5 linked regions of the Cricetulus griseus genome follow. The protein of the gene in region 1 purifies or fractionates together with the protein of each later gene. This does not show direct contact. Links are inferred from orthologs where the notes say so. Each region holds a gene or a part of one and is shown in the gene's direction. Other genes may lie near its edges.

The links.
Region 2: the proteins of Foxj1 (region 1) and Tbc1d32 purify together in Homo sapiens (affinity purification with mass spectrometry; 3 studies listed by BioGRID and IntAct, counting the BioPlex papers as one, with this or other methods). This does not show direct contact. The link is inferred for Cricetulus griseus from reciprocal best matches to the Homo sapiens genes FOXJ1 and TBC1D32.
Region 3: the proteins of Foxj1 (region 1) and Fbxo11 purify together in Homo sapiens (affinity purification with mass spectrometry; 3 studies listed by BioGRID and IntAct, counting the BioPlex papers as one, with this or other methods). This does not show direct contact. The link is inferred for Cricetulus griseus from reciprocal best matches to the Homo sapiens genes FOXJ1 and FBXO11.
Region 4: the proteins of Foxj1 (region 1) and Rfx3 purify together in Homo sapiens (affinity purification with mass spectrometry; 3 studies listed by BioGRID and IntAct, counting the BioPlex papers as one, with this or other methods). This does not show direct contact. The link is inferred for Cricetulus griseus from reciprocal best matches to the Homo sapiens genes FOXJ1 and RFX3.
Region 5: the proteins of Foxj1 (region 1) and Cdk20 purify together in Homo sapiens (affinity purification with mass spectrometry; 3 studies listed by BioGRID and IntAct, counting the BioPlex papers as one, with this or other methods). This does not show direct contact. The link is inferred for Cricetulus griseus from reciprocal best matches to the Homo sapiens genes FOXJ1 and CDK20.

What each region holds. Positions count from the first base shown.
Region 1 is NC_048600.1:128,919,102-128,923,181, reverse strand, and holds the start of Foxj1 (forkhead box protein J1), read left to right. Parts: upstream 1-1,280; 5' UTR 1,281-1,424; coding exon 1,425-1,922; intron 1,923-3,582; coding exon 3,583-4,080. UniProt on the Homo sapiens protein: Transcription factor specifically required for the formation of motile cilia. Acts by activating transcription of genes that mediate assembly of motile cilia, such as CFAP157.
Region 2 is NC_048595.1:253,180,161-253,184,300, forward strand, and holds the start of Tbc1d32 (protein broad-minded), read left to right. Parts: upstream 1-1,339; 5' UTR 1,340-1,590; coding exon 1,591-1,745; intron 1,746-4,140.
Region 3 is NC_048598.1:89,599,619-89,602,824, reverse strand, and holds the end of Fbxo11 (F-box only protein 11), read left to right. Parts: coding exon 1-37; intron 38-804; coding exon 805-912; intron 913-1,120; coding exon 1,121-1,229; intron 1,230-1,647; coding exon 1,648-1,746; intron 1,747-1,827; coding exon 1,828-1,957; 3' UTR 1,958-2,706; downstream 2,707-3,206. UniProt on the Homo sapiens protein: Substrate recognition component of a SCF (SKP1-CUL1-F-box protein) E3 ubiquitin-protein ligase complex which mediates the ubiquitination and subsequent proteasomal degradation of target proteins, such as DTL/CDT2, BCL6, SNAI1 and PRDM1/BLIMP1.
Region 4 is NC_048596.1:33,571,431-33,574,944, forward strand, and holds part of Rfx3 (transcription factor RFX3), read left to right. Parts: intron 1-3,231; coding exon 3,232-3,490; intron 3,491-3,514. UniProt on the Homo sapiens protein: Transcription factor required for ciliogenesis and islet cell differentiation during endocrine pancreas development. Essential for the differentiation of nodal monocilia and left-right asymmetry specification during embryogenesis.
Region 5 is NC_048596.1:282,039,846-282,044,137, forward strand, and holds the start of Cdk20 (cyclin-dependent kinase 20), read left to right. Parts: upstream 1-1,478; 5' UTR 1,479-1,711; coding exon 1,712-1,786; intron 1,787-2,095; coding exon 2,096-2,209; intron 2,210-4,292. UniProt on the Homo sapiens protein: Required for high-level Shh responses in the developing neural tube.

The sequences.
Region 1 (4,080 bases):
TTCCGGGAACTTGAGCAGGGTGAGCGGGCGAGCGGCTTACCGGGAGACGCTGGGTTACCCTACCCGCCTCGGTGTGTCTGCGAGCTGTGTGGCCGTTTCTGCGGATATGAGCGACAGGTGGCATCAGAGAGTCACACTTGCCTGCGGGCACCAGGGAAAGGCCTCAGAAACCAAACAAAGGCCACTGGCAGCCCAGTGAGGGGAGGCTCCAAGGGCACGGCTCCCCGAGACTTGGTCTCCAGAATCCGGGCCTCGGTTCCCGCAGCCGTCCTACCCGACGCGTGGGGGAGGGGTTCCCGGGGCCTCGGGCGGAAGCCGAGCACCCGCCGTGCGACCCAGCGCGGGGCTGTCGGGCGGGAATGCCCAGAACCTGGTCGCGGCGGCGGGTAGGGGGGCTGGGTGGCGCGGGAGAGGGCGGCAGAACGAGGGAGTTCCAGAGAGTTGCCGCCAGAGGAGCAGCCAGGGCCCGCGGTCTCCTTGGAGACGCGCTGGCCAATGAGAGCGGCGGAAGCTGTTTATAGGGGCGGAGCGTCGCCATGGCAGCAGGAGAAGCCTTCAGAGCGTCTACTTAATGCCGGTCCCCGGGCCGTCGGCGCTCACAGAAGCGCCGTCGGGCGAGGGGGGGGCGACGAGGGGCCCCAGCAGAGCCCTCGAGCTGGGCACGGAGAGCCGCGGGAGGAGGAAGGAACTTCTTCCAGAACCTTCCTCGGGCCGGGCCGCTCTGTGAGCCAGGTAAGGGACTGGGAGGGCTGCGGGCCGCGGCGTGGGAGGGCGGGCGTCAGGACCCGCGGCCGGCGGGCCGGCCGGTCATCCATCCCATCGGCCGCCCACCAAGGCGGCGGCACCCGTGACCGAGACCCGAGGGGCGTGGGGGAGGCCGCTGCCTGCCTGTCGGTAACTCGGCCGGGACCCTCGCTCCCTGCCTGCCTCCCTCCCTCCGAGGCTCAGGTGCCCTCCCCGCCTTAGCCGCCGCACCGCCGGCCCTCCTGCACCACCGGGTGCGAGCCCAGCTCCCGCTCTCTGGAAGAAAGTTAGACTGGGCCTCCCTGCCCTCCTCCCTCCCTCGGTGGGGCCGACGAGCCCGCCCTCGAAGGGCAGGTGGAGAGAGGAGGAGCAGGGGTCAGACAGAGCTCTGAGTCTCCTCTCCGTGACCGGGACACGGGTCCCCAGGACGAAGGTGAAGGGTGTCCCCTCCCCGGCACCGAGGTGAAACCCTCGCGGTAGGGAAGAGTGCTCAGCCCCGCGTTGCTCCCGCAGGCCCCGCATTCGTATTCGGAGGAGGCGGCCCCCGGGTCGCGGAATGGAAGTGAGCGTTCTGGAGGCTGTGTAGCCGGAGCCTCGGGTACCAGCGGGCCGGAGAACGCGGCGGGCCACCCGGCTCAGCCCGTGGATGTTGACCGCCCCCTCGGAGAGACCCCGCAGACATGGCGGAGAGCTGGCTGCGCCTCTGCGGAGCAGGGCCCGGGGAGGAGGCCGGGCCGGAGGGCGGCCTGGAGGAGCCGGACGCCCTGGATGACAGCCTGACCAGCCTGCAGTGGCTGCAGGAATTCTCCATTCTCAACGCCAAGGCCCCCACCCTGCCCCCGGGGGGCACCGACCCCCACGGTTACCACCAAGTGCCCGGCTCGGTGGCGCCCGGGTCACCCCTGGCGGCAGACCCTGCCTGCCTTGTGCAGCCGCACACACCCGGCAAGCCCACGTCGTCGTGCACATCTCGAAGCGCTCCCCCAGGGCTGCAGGCCCCGCCCCCCGACGACGTGGACTATGCCACCAACCCGCATGTGAAGCCACCTTACTCGTATGCCACTCTCATCTGCATGGCCATGCAGGCCAGCAAGGCCACCAAGATCACTCTGTCGGCCATCTACAAGTGGATCACGGACAACTTCTGTTACTTTCGCCATGCGGATCCCACCTGGCAGGTAGGGGAGAGGAAGTGTGGGTGGCGGCCATTCCCTCCTCACTCCCTGGTCTGGCTCTTGGCCAGATTCACATTCCAGATCCACAAAGCCCAAGGAGGCACCTGGCTTTGAGGTCAGACGGCTCATGAGAGGGCCCTGGCAAGTTCTGGAGCCAGGGCTTTGGGGTGCAGACGTTGAAGTTTTAGGAGAAGAGGGATTGATAGGGCACATTGGTCCTCCAGGCCCAGTGCGGCCTCCTATGAGGATGACACTATAAGGAACATTCTTGTCCCACGTCCCAGAATTCCTAGACACTGTTCTGCCCAAGGTTGATTTTGTCAGAACTGGACTCAAAAATGGAACCCAGGTGACCTTCCTGCCAGGTTCTGCACCCCGCCTTTTGCCTTCGGTCTGGAGAGTAGGGCAGAGATGAGCAGTAGGGGAGAGGTCATGAGGTCATCCTAAAGTCACTGACCCAGCTTCCCACCTCAACTCCTCCCCAGTTTCCTGCCTCCACCCTGCCCCCTCAGCCAGCCTCCCTTGGGGGCAATTACCTGAGCCAGTTGCTTCCCACAAGGGCGCTACCGCTGCTGCAAAGGCTTCAGGTTCCAAGTCTCTGGAACCTGGCACAGAGCAGCCAGTGGGCCCAGGCTGCCATGTAAACATCCCAGCCTTGCTGGCCAGAGGGGCACTTACTATCCACCTACCTGCCCCGCTAGCCTGCCTACCCTGGGCTCCTGGACACCGCCATGGTGTGAACACAACTAAGCAGCCAAACGTGAACAAGGCAAGATAAGGCCAAGTTCACACTGCTTTGAATGTCTTCCACTATCAGGGTCCAGGTGGTGGAGACAGAGGCCTCAGGTGGCCCAGTCTTCATTGAAGCACCCGTGGAGGCAGGGTGTAGGATCCAAGTCCTGAGGCATTCCAAATGGCCCTAACCCCGGGTCAGGAGACCCCCATCCTCTCCTTACTCAAGGCCTGTGCCAACTCAGGCCCCAGGAATGAGCCTTCTGCACTTGGCTGGGTAATAATCTACAGAGGTTTGGGTGGGAAGAGAAGACTGTGGGGGGTGAAGGCCTAGGCCAGCGGCTGGCTCAACAAACAAGGAGCCACTAAATATCCCACCACACACACCCATGCGGGCACGCAGGAGCGCAAGTGCGCGCGCGCGCGCGCACACACACACACACACACACACACACACACACACACACAATTCTTCCTCACCCAGCCCCCTCCCTTAACCCACCCCCTTCACAAACAGAGGGAACCAGCCAGGCAGAGGGAGATGGCTGTCCAGGCCTCCAGGCCGCGGGGGAGCTGAGGGCTTTGGCCAGGACCTGCAAGCAGCAGAGGGAGGGAGGGAGGGAGGATGACAGGGGGTGGCACTGAGAGCCACCCTGTGGCTCAGAGCTCGGATGACTGAGCAGGCAGATATCCCAGCAACAGAGAACAAAAGCCCCCCCCCAGCCTCCCCCCTCCACTCTGGGCTCCTCATGCCCTGTGGCTGGTGTCCCAGAGTCCCAGCTGCCTGGTCAGGGCATCGGGTTGATCCACCCCCCACACACACACCAGTCAGAGAAAAGATGCCCAGAGCGTTCAGGAGCACTGGGTGCCACCCCAACACCATTCCCCTGATCCCTCTGTGCTTTTTCTCTTGTTCTGTCACTGCATCCAGAATTCCATCCGCCACAACCTGTCCCTGAACAAGTGCTTCATCAAAGTGCCTCGAGAGAAGGACGAACCTGGCAAGGGGGGCTTCTGGCGCATTGACCCCCAGTATGCAGAGCGCCTGCTCAGTGGGGCCTTCAAGAAGCGGAGGCTGCCCCCAGTCCACATCCACCCTGCCTTCGCCCGCCAGGCCTCACAGGAACGCAACACCGCCCCCTGGGGTGGGCCTCTGACCGTGAACACAGAGGCCCAGCAGCTGTTGCGAGAGTTTGAGGAGGCCACAGGGGAGGGGGGCTGGGGCACGGGAGAGGGCAGGCTGGGGCATAAGCGAAAGCAGCCGCTGCCTAAGAGGGTGGCCAAAGTCCTGAGGCCTCCTAGCACATTGCTGCTGACCCAGGAGGAGCAGGGTGAGCTGGAACCCCTAAAAGGCAACTTTGACTGGGAGGCCATCTTTGAGGCTGGCACTCTGGGCGACGAGCTAAGCTCACTGGAGGCCTTGGAGCTA
Region 2 (4,140 bases), on another chromosome or scaffold:
AAAGCTGGAAAGAAATATCTGTCTTCCTAGAAGCACTTGCGTGGGCAGGAGAATTACTGAATCTGGCTAACCTGAGAAGGGTGTCTGATATGAAGATAGAATGTACGGCTGGGTTTGGAAAGTTTATTGACATCAAACCATTCATCAGTGGTTTGGGGGCTGTTTTGTAGCTACTGGTGTCTGAATATTGTATATGCTCAAGCTCCCATACTTTTCATGTCCAATCTGATGTGTTTCTTTTTAAAAGTCCCACTGGATTATGAACAAAATCCTAGGTTTCCACAGCAACTACCACCACCATTCCCTTTTCTTGGTTTTTCGAGACAAGGTTTCACTTTGCAGCTTTGGAGCCTATCCTGGCACTTGCTCTGGAGACCAGGTTGGCTTCGAACTCACAGAGATCCGCCTGCCTCTGCCCCCGCATTATTAAAGGCGTGCGCCACCAACGCCTGGCCCATTCCTTTGTTTTATAGAGATATATTTTTATTGTTTCTTTTGTAATTTGATGTGTACAATGTATTAGATCATATTTACCCCCACTGCTCCATCTCCCCACTCCCTCCTTTCTTTTAAAACATGTTGATTTAAAAATTATTTTATGTGTATAGTGTTTGCATGCGTGTATGTCTGTGAACCTTAGATGTGCAGTGCCACGGAGGGAGGTGACTCAGCGCATCAGATCTCGTGGACCTGAACTTAGAGCAGGTTGTGAGCTACTATGCGGGCGTTGGAAATTGAACCTTGGTCCTCTGGAGTAGCAGCCAGTACTACTAACCACCAACTTTCATCTCCAGGCCTAAAAGATCAAAACAACAGAAAACACCGAGTCTATTTGTTGCTGTCTATAGTTTCACGAATGCATGTTGAGCCATCCTCTGGAGCATGGCTACACCCCTAATGACAATGGCTCCAGCTCCCAGAAGTCATTTGTTCATTGCTCCTTAGCTTGGGATGAGGGTTCGGGGAGCTGCTTCCAGGCTGTCACGTGACATTTCTTTAGTAAGGCTCTTAGCCGCCCTGCAGTGCACTGTTAATTTGTGTTCTGTCTCGTTGTGAAGGGCCATCTTCACAGGCAGGCATTGCTTGGTAAGCTGCGGGCGCTCAACAGGTGTCAGTTGCTGTGAGCGAACAGTTTTTAAAAATTCCATCTAGTTAACTGCTTTCAGTCTGGCTTCCCTTGTCCTTCCCTCTCACAGGTCTAGGGTTCAGGGGGGTAAGGCTCTCCTCCTGGATTCACCCCTCCCACCGCCGCGTCGGCGAGCTGACGTCAGGCGCAGCCGGGGCGTTCCCGTCAGGCTCGCCCCAGAGCCTGGAGAGTCTGTTGCTCATGTCCGGGGCTGCCTGGGCTCCGCAGGTGCCGCCGAACGTCAGGCATCAAACGCCGACCTCAGCTAGCTTCTGGTCTCCAAGCCCAGAGCCTTGATTATCCTGCACGAAGCCAGCCAGCCGCGGCCCCGCCCCCGGGCGCTAGAGGTGGTTTCCTAGGGAACGACGCTGCGCGCCAGCCGCGATTGGACCCGGCCGCGCGTGCGCAGTGGTGTGTGTTGGTGGCGACCCCGCCGTGGTGCCGAGGCTTGCTAGCTGCACAGAATGGCCCATTTCTCAAGCGACGATGAGGCGATGCTGCAGGCGATGCTCCGGCAGCTGTTCCAGAGCGTGAAGGAGAAAATCACCGGCGCTCCGTCCTTGGAGTGCGCAGAGGAGATCCTCTTGCGGTTGGAGGAAACTGACGAAAATTTCCACAAGTAAAGTCGAGTTTAAGTTTTTAAGCAGACAAACCACTTGTCCAGGAAAGGTGGAAAATGATTCGGATACAGAGATTCATTTGATTTTTGTGAAAACAGCTAAGTGTGGTCCTGTTTTTCTATCGTTTGTCCCAGTGCCGAATTTATTTTTTCTTCATTTTTTTAAAAACTGGTTTTCCAGAGCCTCTTCCGCCTTTTTTTTTTTTTGTTACATCAGTTGTAAATCATTCGTGTTCTTTAAAGAACAATCTTAACCACTTAAAGGGATCCCCTTCACTTTATCTAGAAGTAGTGACCCCCAAGATCCCTATATGCCGATCTGTTACCTTCACTGCCTGCTGTAGTTAGCCACTCAGGACGGCAAGCGGCTCCCGTATATACTGAAGCAGGTCTGGGTGTCTGTGAAGGGGCAGGGCGCCCATGCAAATGCCCTGTGCCTATTGACAAGAAACAGGACGGCCAGCATGGAGGAACGGAGAAAAGAACCTGTCAGGTGCTCCCAGGATGGCCTTCAGAATATGAACGTTCCTTAGACTTAAAGATCCTTAGAGATTTGGCGTTTGTTCGTATACCAAGTTAAGCCTCTCAGTTACAAAGTCTATCTCCAGGGTCCCAGCTTACGATAGGTTATAACTTTAAAAAAAAATCCAGTGCTTTATTTCATTTGGTCTCACAGACATTTTTCTTGTGATGTCGCTTTTGTCTGCTTATCTACTTATTCATTCTGGTGCTGGGGATGGAACCCAGGGTCTCATGTATTATAGGAGGCATTTTATGATGCTTTTATTGACTTTTGGATAACTTGAAGTTCAGTTTTCCTGAAAATGGTGTTAGGGGTTCCTTCAGGCCTTTAATGTTGCTTGTAAAAGGTTATTTGTTTATTTGTTGTCTACGGGTTGTCCTTTACAATTTCCTCAGGTTACCAAGGGATTTTTTTTTTTAAATATAGAATCACGGTAGAGTTTCTAATTTCATACTAAGTTTTGAATCCTGATTGATGTGTTGACCAGGGTAGCCTGAAAGTTACTATTCTATTTCAATATCCCAAGTGATGCTGAAAACCCTATCCAGCTTTATTTTCTTAAATTTATGCCTTTCTTTATCTTTGCTTATTTCTATATTATGTCACTGCTAATCTCAATTATTGGACAATAACTGTCCTTTAGATACACTTGCAATCAGTTTTTTTAATCATAAGTTTATTATTTGAAAAGCACAATATAGAAATTGGGCATCTTCTCAAATAAAAGTGGGATTTATTAAATATCCATTTTGTTTGGTTTTTGTTTGTTTTTGTTTTTGACAGGATTGTGTAGCTCTTACTGGCCTGGAACTTGCTGTGTAGATAGGACTGGCCTAGAATTAACAGAGACCCACTTGTCTTTGCTTCTGGAGTGCTGAGATGACAGGTGCACACCGCCACACCTGGCACGTTTGTGCTTTAAAAACAGTAAATAAGTTAGTGTTTTTAGCATTGTATTTTGGGAATGTTTCCATTTTATCTAGATTTTCAAACTAATTTATAGAAAGATTTCCATTAACATCCCATTACCTTATTATTTCTAAGGTCTGCAATTGTATCTTCCTTTTATCATTCCACATTTTAAAAGGCTTATTTGGTATACTGAGTTTCTGGGTTACTAACATTTTTATAGGAGGATGGCGTTGGAGACAGTTGAGTCAGTAAATAATGTAATTTCAGGTATAATAAATCAAAGTGGGAGACTGTGTGGTCATTGGAGGAGAAACTGATACAGGTAATACCATCTTAGAGACTTTGTCACGTAGAGATGTGGAGATGCTAGCCTGTCCCTTTCTTCAGCAGCTTCTTCTGATTCTCTCTCTAAGCTGATTATACTTTTCTAGACCATCCATTCCTCCTCCATTCCTTTAATATGGCAGAAAATACTTGAGACCTCTAGAAAGGGAAGAGGGAGTGAATACATGTTTTATGTCCATATATGATCTATATCATATATGACATATATGTGTTGTTATAAAGTGTAGTTTTGTATCAATATTCTGAGAAAGTCACAAGTTCACAATGGAAAAACCATCATTGGGTGTTCTTGGGAAATGTAGGGTAATAACACTGAAGAAGAAGTGGAAACATGAATGTCCTCAATTTAGTGACCTATTCCTATGTAAATACAAAAGTTTTCATTAATGGAGGAAACACGGAGGCTAATGGCGGTGTCCCTTGAGCAGCTTAGGGATGTGTTTATTTCCACTTGTTCTTTCTTATGAGCAGAGAAACCTGTACTAGGTTCAAATGTGCATCTTTGAGGACATATTTTTTTTCTTTACCTTTTTTTTTTTTTAAGATTTATTTATTTATTATGTACAGTTTTCTGTCTGCATGTATCCCTGCAGGCCAGAAGAGGGCACCAGATCT
Region 3 (3,206 bases), on another chromosome or scaffold:
TTAAGGAAAAACAGAATATTTGATGGATTTGCTGCAGGTTTGTATTCTTTATCTGTGACTTGTTTACAGTTTGTAATTATAAGGTTTTCCTGGTTATTATTCAAAGTTCTGAATTCCTCTACTCTAGGCCAACCTTGCTCTGTAACCCTGGCTGTCCTGGAACTCTGTAGTCTAGGCTGGCCTCAACCTCAAGAGATCTGCACCAATTAAAGGTGTGCGCCACCACCACCTGACTTAAAGAAACTACTCTTAATGTTTAACAATAACTGGAATAAACCTGTAGTCAGATTGGGAATACAGATAAATTTTAAAAGGGAAAAAATGGTTAATCACTTCAAATAACCATTTAACAGCTTTTCTTTTTTAATATGAAAACTATTATTTCAGCACAGTATTGGATGCCTTCCTCTTTTTTTAGCTTTATCCTTGTCTCCCTTTATACATTAAGCCCTTTCTCTTGTAACAGTATTATTCCCCCAGTTTACCTGTCCTAGTGACTGCATCACTGTCAGCAGTGAAAAGTGAATGTTACTGTTGATGGTTAAAATACTTGTAATTTGTTCTTTAGTCAGCAAACTAATGTAAAAGTGCCAGCTTACATCCTTCCCAATTTGGAGATTCTTTTAAGAACAGTGTAAGTGGCCAGGTGTTGGTGGCACATGCCTTTATTCCGAAAACTTGGGAGGCAGAGGCAGGTGGATCTCTGAGTTCCAAGACAGCCAGGGTTGTTAAACAGAAAAAAACCCTGTCTTGAAAAACAAATGAAGTGATTATGCATCTACTTGTTTGTAAATTTTACTTCAGGTATTGAAATTACAAATCATGCAACTGCAACACTAGAAGGCAATCAGATTTTTAACAACCGATTTGGAGGCTTATTTTTAGCATCTGGTGTTAATGTGACAATGAAAGGTATGTTGGAGTCTCTGTTCCTCAATCAGAAGCCATTAATTCCTCCTTCCACTTTCCACATTAGTAGCAATTTTAAATAAAAATAGTTTGGAGTTTGGCTTAAGCTTGTTCTAGGAGTTGGGATATTTTACACAAGGAAAACCTATTTTACTTGCTTATATATTTGTATCCTTGGCTAGCTGTTAAAAATACTTTTTTGTTTTTACAGATAACAAAATAATGAACAATCAAGATGCCATAGAAAAGGCTGTTAGTAGAGGACAATGTTTATATAAAATATCAAGTTATACCAGCTATCCCATGCATGACTTCTACAGGTATATTTGTAAATTCCTTGAATGCAGAAGAGTGAAAGTTAGTGGTTCCCTTTAAATTGTCATTGCCTAATATCTTTGGTTCTGTTGTCTGAACTAAGCTGTAGAATAACTGGGTCAGGGGGATGCATTACTGTTAACTGATGTCATTTATTAAGTTACAGACCAGGCTGGCCTTGAACTCACAGAAGTCAACCTGTCTCTCCTTCTCAAGTGCCTGTTTGTTTTGAAAAACAGTAACATTCCCACTATTACTTACAGCTCAGGTGGTTAAACTTTCCTAAGACACACCATATTAGTTTCCTTTCAGTCTAGACTCTAGCCAGCTACCAAAATTCAGTTAAAGGCTGGCCATAGAGTAATAAAAATGCATGGTTTTAAATTCTTGTCAAGTTCAATAATACAATGTTTTGGTTTTTAGATGTCATACTTGTAACACCACAGATCGAAATGCCATATGTGTGAACTGCATTAAGAAGTGCCATCAGGGACATGATGTAGAATTTATTAGACATGACAGGTATGTAGAATACTTGTTGCTTTATTGCCCACAATCACTTCCCTGTGCTTCACTAATTTTCGGGTTTTCATTTTGCTTTAGGTTTTTCTGTGACTGTGGTGCTGGAACATTGTCCAATCCTTGTACATTAGCTGGTGAACCTACTCATGATACAGACACATTATATGACTCTGCTCCACCTATAGAATCTAATACGTTGCAGCACAACTGAATTCCTTCTCTAAAGAAAAAGTCCTGCCATTCTAACATCGTAACTTAAAACATTTTTGGAAGATTTAAAATCCTTGCCCATGCTACAGAAAGAGACTGTACTGAAAAGTGGATACACAAGGTCAGTTGACACTATGAAGCTCAAGCTACCAAAAAGAAAGTGGCAATATATTGACTCAGGATCTCCAAGCTGGGTGTTTTAGCATTACTGTGTAAAGACTTTTGAAGGGACAGAAGTGAAGAAAGTAAGCTGCAATTTTGTACAGATACCAACTTGTGAAAGAGCTGGTGTTTTTACAACTAACTAGCATTGAATGCAGTCCGACTTGCAGTAGTAATCTTCAATAGACAAGCAGCTTTGTTGCTGCCGTTATGGACATGGGTACCAATTGCTTTTGTAATATGGTAAAAATGTGAGCTAGCACTTCTGCATTGATTTTTTTTAACATGTATTCAGATTGAGAATATGATTTTAATGCTTTAATCTCATGTAGTTTGTTTTTAATTTCAAGCAAAAATCTTATTGTACTTGAATGTGCCCTGTTTTGTTAGCACACCTAGACTTGCTGTAACTGTACTCATGTCCCAGTATGTACGTTCTTTCTATGAAAGAGAAAAACACTAATCTTAAATTATATCCAGCAATGTTTCTGGTATCCTTTAAGAAAAGTTAAGACTATTATTTCCTTCCCTCTCCTGTGCAGCATTCAAAAAAAAAAAAAAACAAAAAAAAAAACAAAAAAAAAAAAACTTCACCCCTAGAAAACAGTTGAGTGTTTTAATGAGACTTCCTAGGAAGGGATGCACTGTAAAACAAAAGTATTCTTGTATCTCAGTTTTGTGAAAGGTAAAAACTACTATGTTTTAAAGTTCACTTTAGAAAGTCTCTTCAAAACAGGCCTGTATTTGAATTCTGTTCATAGTTTTTATTTGAACAGTTTAGACAAAATGGCTGGAAATTAAAGCAATTTCCTGCATTATGCTGAGACCAGTATATCTACAGCCCTAAACAGTTTCATAGCGCCCCCCATTTATGTGTATTGGTGACAGTGGGTATAAACAGCCTGAAAGTGTATGCATGTACCATAACATCTAGACTTAATATATTGTGGAGTATTCAATAACCATTATGTAGAAGGTAGATGAGAATTAAAAGGGTTTAATTTCCTAGAAAGAAAATGGAAAATGGTCATTTTTAAAAAATAAAGTTTATTAGATCATAATGTTGTCTGAATTTACCACCTTTGTCA
Region 4 (3,514 bases), on another chromosome or scaffold:
GGTTACCTCGATGAAAAACTTGTACCAGTCTTTGAGAGGATCCCAGTTCCTAAAAGAACTTTCAAGGTTTTTAAAAGGTTTTTTTTTTTTTCCTGTATTAAGGAAGAAAGTAAGTCAGTATCTAGGAAAGAAACTCAGTATTTTCAAAACTTTCACACACTACACTTTGGGAGATGACACTTTTGACATTTGTAATTTATTCAGAATCCATAAGCATGTGAACAGAATGGGACTCAATTTTCTAAGAGTCACCTCTTGAAAATCCTGCAGGTAGTACATTTTCTGAAGGCCTCCACTTACCTCTCCCATATACTTCAAATGATTAATAAGAAACCACTTGAGATTATTCTTTTCCTCCTCAAGTGACACAGCTAAGTTTTAGAATTTGCAGGTGAAATTATGTTTTCTTATTATCTTTAACTTCCTTTTTTCTTAGAAAAAATGATTACATGGAATCATTAAGGAGTGAGAATGCTTTCTTTATTCGTCCTTCTCCTGGTGTACAGTCTTAGATATGTAGGGGCTGCTGTGGAAATCCACTTCCCATTTAGAAATTACCAAGCATGATTGGTTCCATAGGAAACTTCGGAGAGAGAATTGACTGTCTGTAAAAGAGCTTGGACATTTCTTTATAATTAAAAAGGGCTTCTAGTGTTAGCTACATAAAAAATTCCTATCTCTTCAAAGATGAAAGATGTTCAAAGGTAGCTTCCTAGAATGTTAGAGTTGGTAAGATTGAGATCATTTATCACTGCCCCCTCTGCAGACAAATAAACTGAAGTTCAGATAGGAAGAAAATATGAAAACTAAAGCAACTTGCTTTCCACTGCCATATTTTCATACTGACCTGAGGGTCATATAGACTTCATATATTTATTTGCAGGGCATGCATATCTGTTATGTCCATTGAGAATTGCACGAAGACAGTCCATCTGAAAGATGGAATTACTGAAGTCCCTTGACACATGTTTTTCTTAAGCTTTAGTACAATATCCACATTCATAGGACTGCTGGAATTAACACATTTTGTGTTGGTATCTTCAGCCCTTCTTCAGCATTGAAGGTCCTATTCTGGGTAAGATGAGTAGCATGGTACTAATAAGCTGAGGTAATAGAATCCTAAACCATAACAGAAAATTGAAACCCTCTTACTACTTTCTAGGATAATTCCTTCTTAGTTATTCATAGATATTATTAATGTGTACAGAGTTTTTTGTTGTCTCCCATGTGACATAACTTAGTACATGGGCTGAGTTCACTGTACTCCAAAAAGAGAAACAGAACCATATATTGCATGTGTTAGTATTTATTACCTTGTATGTATTTATACAGTTCATTTGATTGTATTTAATACCAACCTTAAGTTGTTTTATTTTATTCATTGTTAAATGAAGCTACTATATATTCAGTGCACACAAATTAGCATAAACCCCTTTATCTTTTAATCTAAATGTGAAATTAACATGCCTATTTTTACTTTAGTAACTAAAGATGTTTAGTTTGAGAAAGTATAGCAATGATAAGACTCTTACATATATTTTAAATTGTATTTTTCAGATTTTTAAAAAATATTCTATAATTGTTTGTATCATTGTCTTTAACATTTATGCTTTGATATTTTGTAGTTATTTGTGAAGGGTATAGTTTTTTTTAGTGTAGATTATTTTCTGAAAACTATTAACTCTTTTATTGAAAAGGTATTTTCATACAGTATATTCTGATCACACTTTTCCCCTCCCCCAACTCCTCCCAGATTCGCACCTCCCCACCAACCCAATGCCACATCTTCTCTCTCTCTCTCTCTCTCTCTCTCTCTCTCTCTCTCTCTCTCAACAAACAAGAGTACACAAAGAAAGCAAAGTGAGACAAAATGTCTAAAGAAATAGCACTGAGTACTTTTTGTGTCAGGCATCTACTCATGGACATGCAGTCTACCCGGAAGTGTGGTTATTCTGCCCAGGGAAGAGACTCCATTGGAGAGGACTAATTTTTCCTTTTTATGCGGATACTGATTGTAGATAACTTCTTGGTTAGGGCTTCAAGCCTGTGTCTGTTTGCTCTTTGTACTGCTGGGACCCCAACTAGCTTGCACTTGTAAAGGCCTTGTGAGTGCTGCCACAGTCTCTGTGAATTCATGTTTATCAGTCCTGTTGTGTCAGGAAGACACTGTTTCCATGAAGTTGTTCATTTCCTCTAGAGATTAGAAACGGTAGTTGCAGGATAACAGTGAATGTAAAGAGTGGAGATGAAGTGCCAGAGAAAGTAAAGTACCAGGATACTTGATACCCAAATGCCAGGCTTGGCTACATGTGGGGGTGAAGTTAAGAGAACAGTAAGCACTGGAAATGTTTATCATTTGAAATTTCAAAGATATAAGCAAATGAAGTGTTTCTGAATGTGTCTTCTTACATTTCTGTAGTCCTATAACTTCTTGTGAGCTTTTTACATATTAAAAAAATTAAAGCATCCTATAGTGTAAGCTGACATCAACTGGAAATGAAAAAATCAGATGAATTTAATCAGAACCGACAAAGAAGAAAAGGGCAACATGGAGTGGTCAGCAGTGTCATTCTGCAAATAGGTCAAAAAGAGACAAGGGCTGAAGGAGCCTTTTGGCCTGATATTTACATTTGGTCACAAGTGACCTTATTAAAAGCCACTTCACTGAAAGGCTAAGGGCAGAGCTTGACCAGACTTCTGGGGAGGTGCAAAGTGAGTATGTGAAGAGCTGGCACAGTCACTGAGGAAGGGAGAGCTGCTAGACAGACATAAGTTGTGTTTTAGCTCAAGACCTTCTTGGTCTTAAGGAAGGAATCCACAGAAGTGTCTTCAGATATGGAGGATAATCACTAGTTATCCATGGATGGGAAGTGGTCCCTGGTCATGGTAGATCTCATCTTTCCTCATAGCAGCACATACATGAGTGTTTAAATACAAGGACAGAATTTGTGAACAGATTTCTTGCAGCAAACGGACCTGTTGATGAGTTGGAGATGAACTCCTATAGAGAGTAAATAAACTACAGTACAGAAACAAGCTAAGGTTCTCATTTAATTTGGAGAGGAAATCAATCTCTTTATTGGTGGGAATAATATTTCATAAAAAAACAAAATTTAACAAGTTTCAAAGGCTGGACATTATTAATATATATATTTTTAAATATTGGTATTAAAGATAACAATCGTGATTTAAACAAGCTAGTAAATCTCTCCTTTTTTCTTCTTTCTAAAGCCGAACAACAACTTATCCTTATACAGAAACACAGATGTACAGCCAAAACACTGGAGGAAATTACTTTGATACTCAAGGAAGTTCAGCACAGGTGACAACCGTGGTGTCCTCCCACAGTATGGTGGGTACTGGTGGTATTCAGATGGGTGTCACGGGAGGACAGCTCATCAGCAGCTCTGGAGGAACCTATCTGATTGGCAATTCAATGGAGAATTCTGGTCACTCAGTGACACACACAACCCGGGCCTCCCCAGCGACGGTAAGTGCTTGAGTTTTTATTTGC
Region 5 (4,292 bases), on another chromosome or scaffold:
AACAAACAAAACCAAAAACCAAAACAAACAACAACAAAAACAAACCAAACAAAAAAGATGTTCTAATCTTATGATATTATGTGTAAAAAGAGAGGCATGGTAGTTGATACATTGATTTTCCTTTATTTCTTTGTGTGTGTCCTCATATATAAAGTTATAATAAAATGTAGTGTATCAGTTTGGATGTCAATGCTGCATTCTCCTTAATTCTGAGCCTATGAAATCTAAGCTCAGCATGAAGTCAAGGATGATCTTGAATTCCTGGGCTTCCTGCCTCTACCACCTAACACTGGAAGAACAAGGAGACACCACCGCATCTGCTTTTTTCCTTTTAATTTGAGGCTCCTCCTCACACTGAGGTCCAAACTTGAATTTTCTGTTTTCCTGATTTAGCTCTGTGAGTAGTAAGCCACAGGGCTGGCAAACTTTTACTTATTTCATGCCCAGAAGAGGGTCCCACAGCCATCCCACAGGGCTCAGCCTCACACTGTTAAAGGTTGTGTTTGCTTTGTGTTTGAGACAGTCTTACACTGTGGCTCATTATGGCCTTGAACCTGAGACAATCCTCCTGCCTTAGTCTCCTCAGTGCTGGGATTGGAGGGATTAGCCACCATGCCTGGCACACTTACATTTCAACAAATGCACACAAGGGTTGTTCTTTCTCTGCATCCTTGCCTTCCCAACATTTGTGCATGTTCCCCTCCCTCTCCTCTTCTTCTGCCTTTCTTGATTTCTCCCCGGTTTTACTATGTTAGCATTTAACCACGTCCCAACTGGTTTCATACTTGAGATCTTTTAGCCTTGTTCTGCTTTCTGGGTACTGGAATTATAGGCAGGGCGACCACAGCCAGTTTATCATTTACTTTTCTGACAGTAGTCATCCTAAAGGGTGTGAGATATCTTTTTGTGGTTTGATTTCCTTTTTCCTAATTAGTAGGGATGTTGGTCATCATCTCACGAGCTTGTTGGGGATTTCGCTGTATTCTGAGACAAGGTCTCCTAGTGCAGGCTGACTTGAACTGACTATGTAGATGAGCGATCGTGATCTTGCCAAGAACTGGGACTGCAGAACTGCTTTAGTGAGACCAGTTTATGTGGTACTCGGTATCCAACCGAAGGCTTTGTGCACAATAGGCAAGCACTTCACCAACGGAGCTTCATCCCCAGGCTTAGTAAGCTCTTTTAAAAGGTACCTGGATTCTTGATGCCCGGTGGAGAGACCTGAGGCCTAAGTGATTCTCCACGACGCAGCTCTGGGCTTGTCTCCAACACTAGCTTGAGTAAGTTACAAAGAGGCTCATCTGCAGCGAATGGTAGACTAGAATCTTGTCTTTGGGTACTCCTGCCTGCATCAGGAGTACCCGGGCCATCCCCACCCGGGCCACCTCTCCAGCAGAGGCCCCGCCCTTGAGCGTGTGAACGCTCCCTTTACTTGCGTGGCCCTGCCCCTCCCGGGCGCACGCAGCAGCGTTTCTTGTCACGTGGCGCCGGGGCCGGATTTGAAGAGTGCGGTCATCCACGGATGACTGCCCAAGGCTGCTGAAAGGTGTTGCAAGGCGGGGGAAGCTGATTCTTGACTCAGCTCCGCGTGGGTCTTTCCGGTCACGTGCTGTACGGAGCAGCGGCTAGACACGTTATTGCTAGGCAACGCTTGCACGCTCTGACCTGCGCTGGATCCCTGCAGTGGAGGATCTGGGTGCCGCGTGTCGACATGGACCAGTACTGCATCCTCGGTCGCATCGGGGAGGGTGCCCACGGCATCGTCTTTAAAGCCAAGCACGTAGAGGTGAGGTCACGCCGCACGCGCTGTCCGAGGGGTACCCGCTGCCTCCTCTCTGCTTCAGGTCGCGAGCTGCGGCCTTTCGGTGCTGAGACCTGCCAGCGCGCGGGCCTCCGGGGTCTCTGGAGGCTTGTCCCGGTCCCTTCTGGGGCGATCCCGCTTCCAGCAGCGGGACTGCGGGATCGCGTCCCCTAGCGGACGGTTTACATATTCCCGACCTGGGGGCGGGTGTCTTGGGTATCTTGTTCCTGGTTCCTTGTTCTCTCCCTGCCCTTCCCTGCCTTCCGAAGGTCTTTGGCACTCTTTCTTGCACAGACTGGAGAGATCGTTGCCCTCAAGAAGGTGGCCCTGCGACGGCTGGAGGATGGCATTCCTAACCAGGCTCTAAGGGAAATCAAGGCTCTGCAGGAGATCGAGGACAGTCAGTATGTGAGTGGGGCTGGGTTTGGAGTGGACAAGACAGTGGGCGGCAGGTTCCAACACCGGAGCTTCTCGCCCGCGTTTGCTCATTTCCATCCCCACCTACCCACCCACATACACTTTAAAGGATTCCTTCTAATCCCCACTCTGCTCCTGCCTGATTACCCCGTATTTATGCTCCCAGGTCCAATCCCCGAATCCCCCCCTCTCATTTACTCAATCATCGCTCATACTCTCAGTCATTTTTCCCTCCAGATATTTTATGGTTTTTCTCCCTCCTTCTCTCCTTTTCTTCTTGTCTCCTCCCCCCCCCCACCTTCCTCCTTCCCTTCCTTCCCTGTGCTAGGCTGGTGCTGTGCCACTAAATTATGTCCCCAGCCATACTGATTTCTCAGTAACTTGTACCGGTTGAGCTCTACTTTGTTCTACAGATGTGCAAAGGTTTTATGTGTGGTCACCCTGAGTTCTCCCTGCTTTTCAAAGCAGGTTTCAGGAATTTGCTAAGCAAGGGCAATGTTGCATTTTCATTATTAGTAGATGGGTCTTTAGCTATCCAGTGAAAACTTTGGGTTGAGTGTCACTGGCAGCCTTCCTCTGGGGCCTCCTAAAAGTCCTGGCCTGTGCACAGCACCAAGGATACTGAGGAGGTCCAAGTCTGTTTCCTGAGAACATGTGTGTAATGGAATCAGTAGGAGATGACAAGACGACATACCTGGGGTGTATGTCTGTGTGCTAGTGAAGTGTGAAGTCTGGTGGTGTATGTTTCAGGTCTGACTGTGGATAAGTTTTTATTTCTTATTCCTTTATAATTTGTGTACTATCTGAATGTAGGTGTATGTTTTAATTTGTTCAATGATTATTTACTACCAAAAATCCCAATAAGGTGTTTCTTTTTTGTTGAAAATAGAAGGGCTTTCCAGATAGCCTGTGTGTGGGACAGGGGTGCAAGATCCATAAAGATGCTGGTGATTGCCAGCCACCTAAAGTTGCCATTTTAATTAACCAATTAATTAATATGTAATTTTATGTGTACGAACATTTTGCCTGCATCTATATGTGTGTACAGTGTGTGTGCCTGGTGCCCATGGAAGCCAGAAGAGGACATTAGAATCCCTGGAACTGGAGTTATGGACAGTTATAGCACCACTATGTGGGTGCTGGGAACCAAACCTGGGTCTTCTACTTCTAATTCTACAAGTACAGTTAACCACTGAACTTTCTGTCCAGCTCAGAGTTTTCATCTTAAAAAATACACCCAGGGGAATGGGGAAATGGCTCAGTGGGTGGTGTTAAGCAGGTGAATGTCAGGTGGGTGTGGTACCCCACCTGTGAGTCCATGTTTATAAGGTACTAGACAGGGAATCCCTGGAACAAGCTGGTCAGTAAAGCCATCATATTGGTGAAGCTCTGAATTCAGTAGAAGACATTGCTTCAACAGATAATGTGGAGAGCAATTAAAGAAGACGCCTGACTTCAGCCATGGTTCTCCACATGCTCATACACACACATACGTACATCCAAGCACAAAGACATAAATAAAGAGATTTTTCCCCAGCTGTTTTCATCTTCTTCACTAACTACTATTTCTTAGGTGTCCCTGCAGGGACTACCATCCATATAGTTTCCAGGAGCCTGTCAGGACAGGACAGAAATGTTCATCAGCTGGATGTTGGTTACACCTGTAATCCCAACATTTAGGAAGTAGAGGCAGGAGGATCCTAGTCATCCTATGCTCCATAGTGAGTTCAAGTCCTTTCCTCCCCACTGTTCCAAAAAGACACATATTTTCTTGTCCCTCCAGCCACCTCTGTTAGCTTTAGTGCCTTGTTCTTTCTGCTCTCCCTGCTCAGACCTGATTCCTTGACATCTGCATAACTGGCTTCTCCTCTGGCTAACTCCTGACCAACCCCCTTCTGAATAAAGTATACGTACTTCCTTTGCTCTCTCACAATCACATTGCCCACTGTTCCTGTACCTTCCAGAACCCAAACATAGATTCCCATCATTATTTGTTGGTCATTTATTCTCTGTTCTGTAAGCCCCTCAGAACCCTTGCATCCTAGCTCAGTGCTCTGTGCAGCCTGGGCCTTAA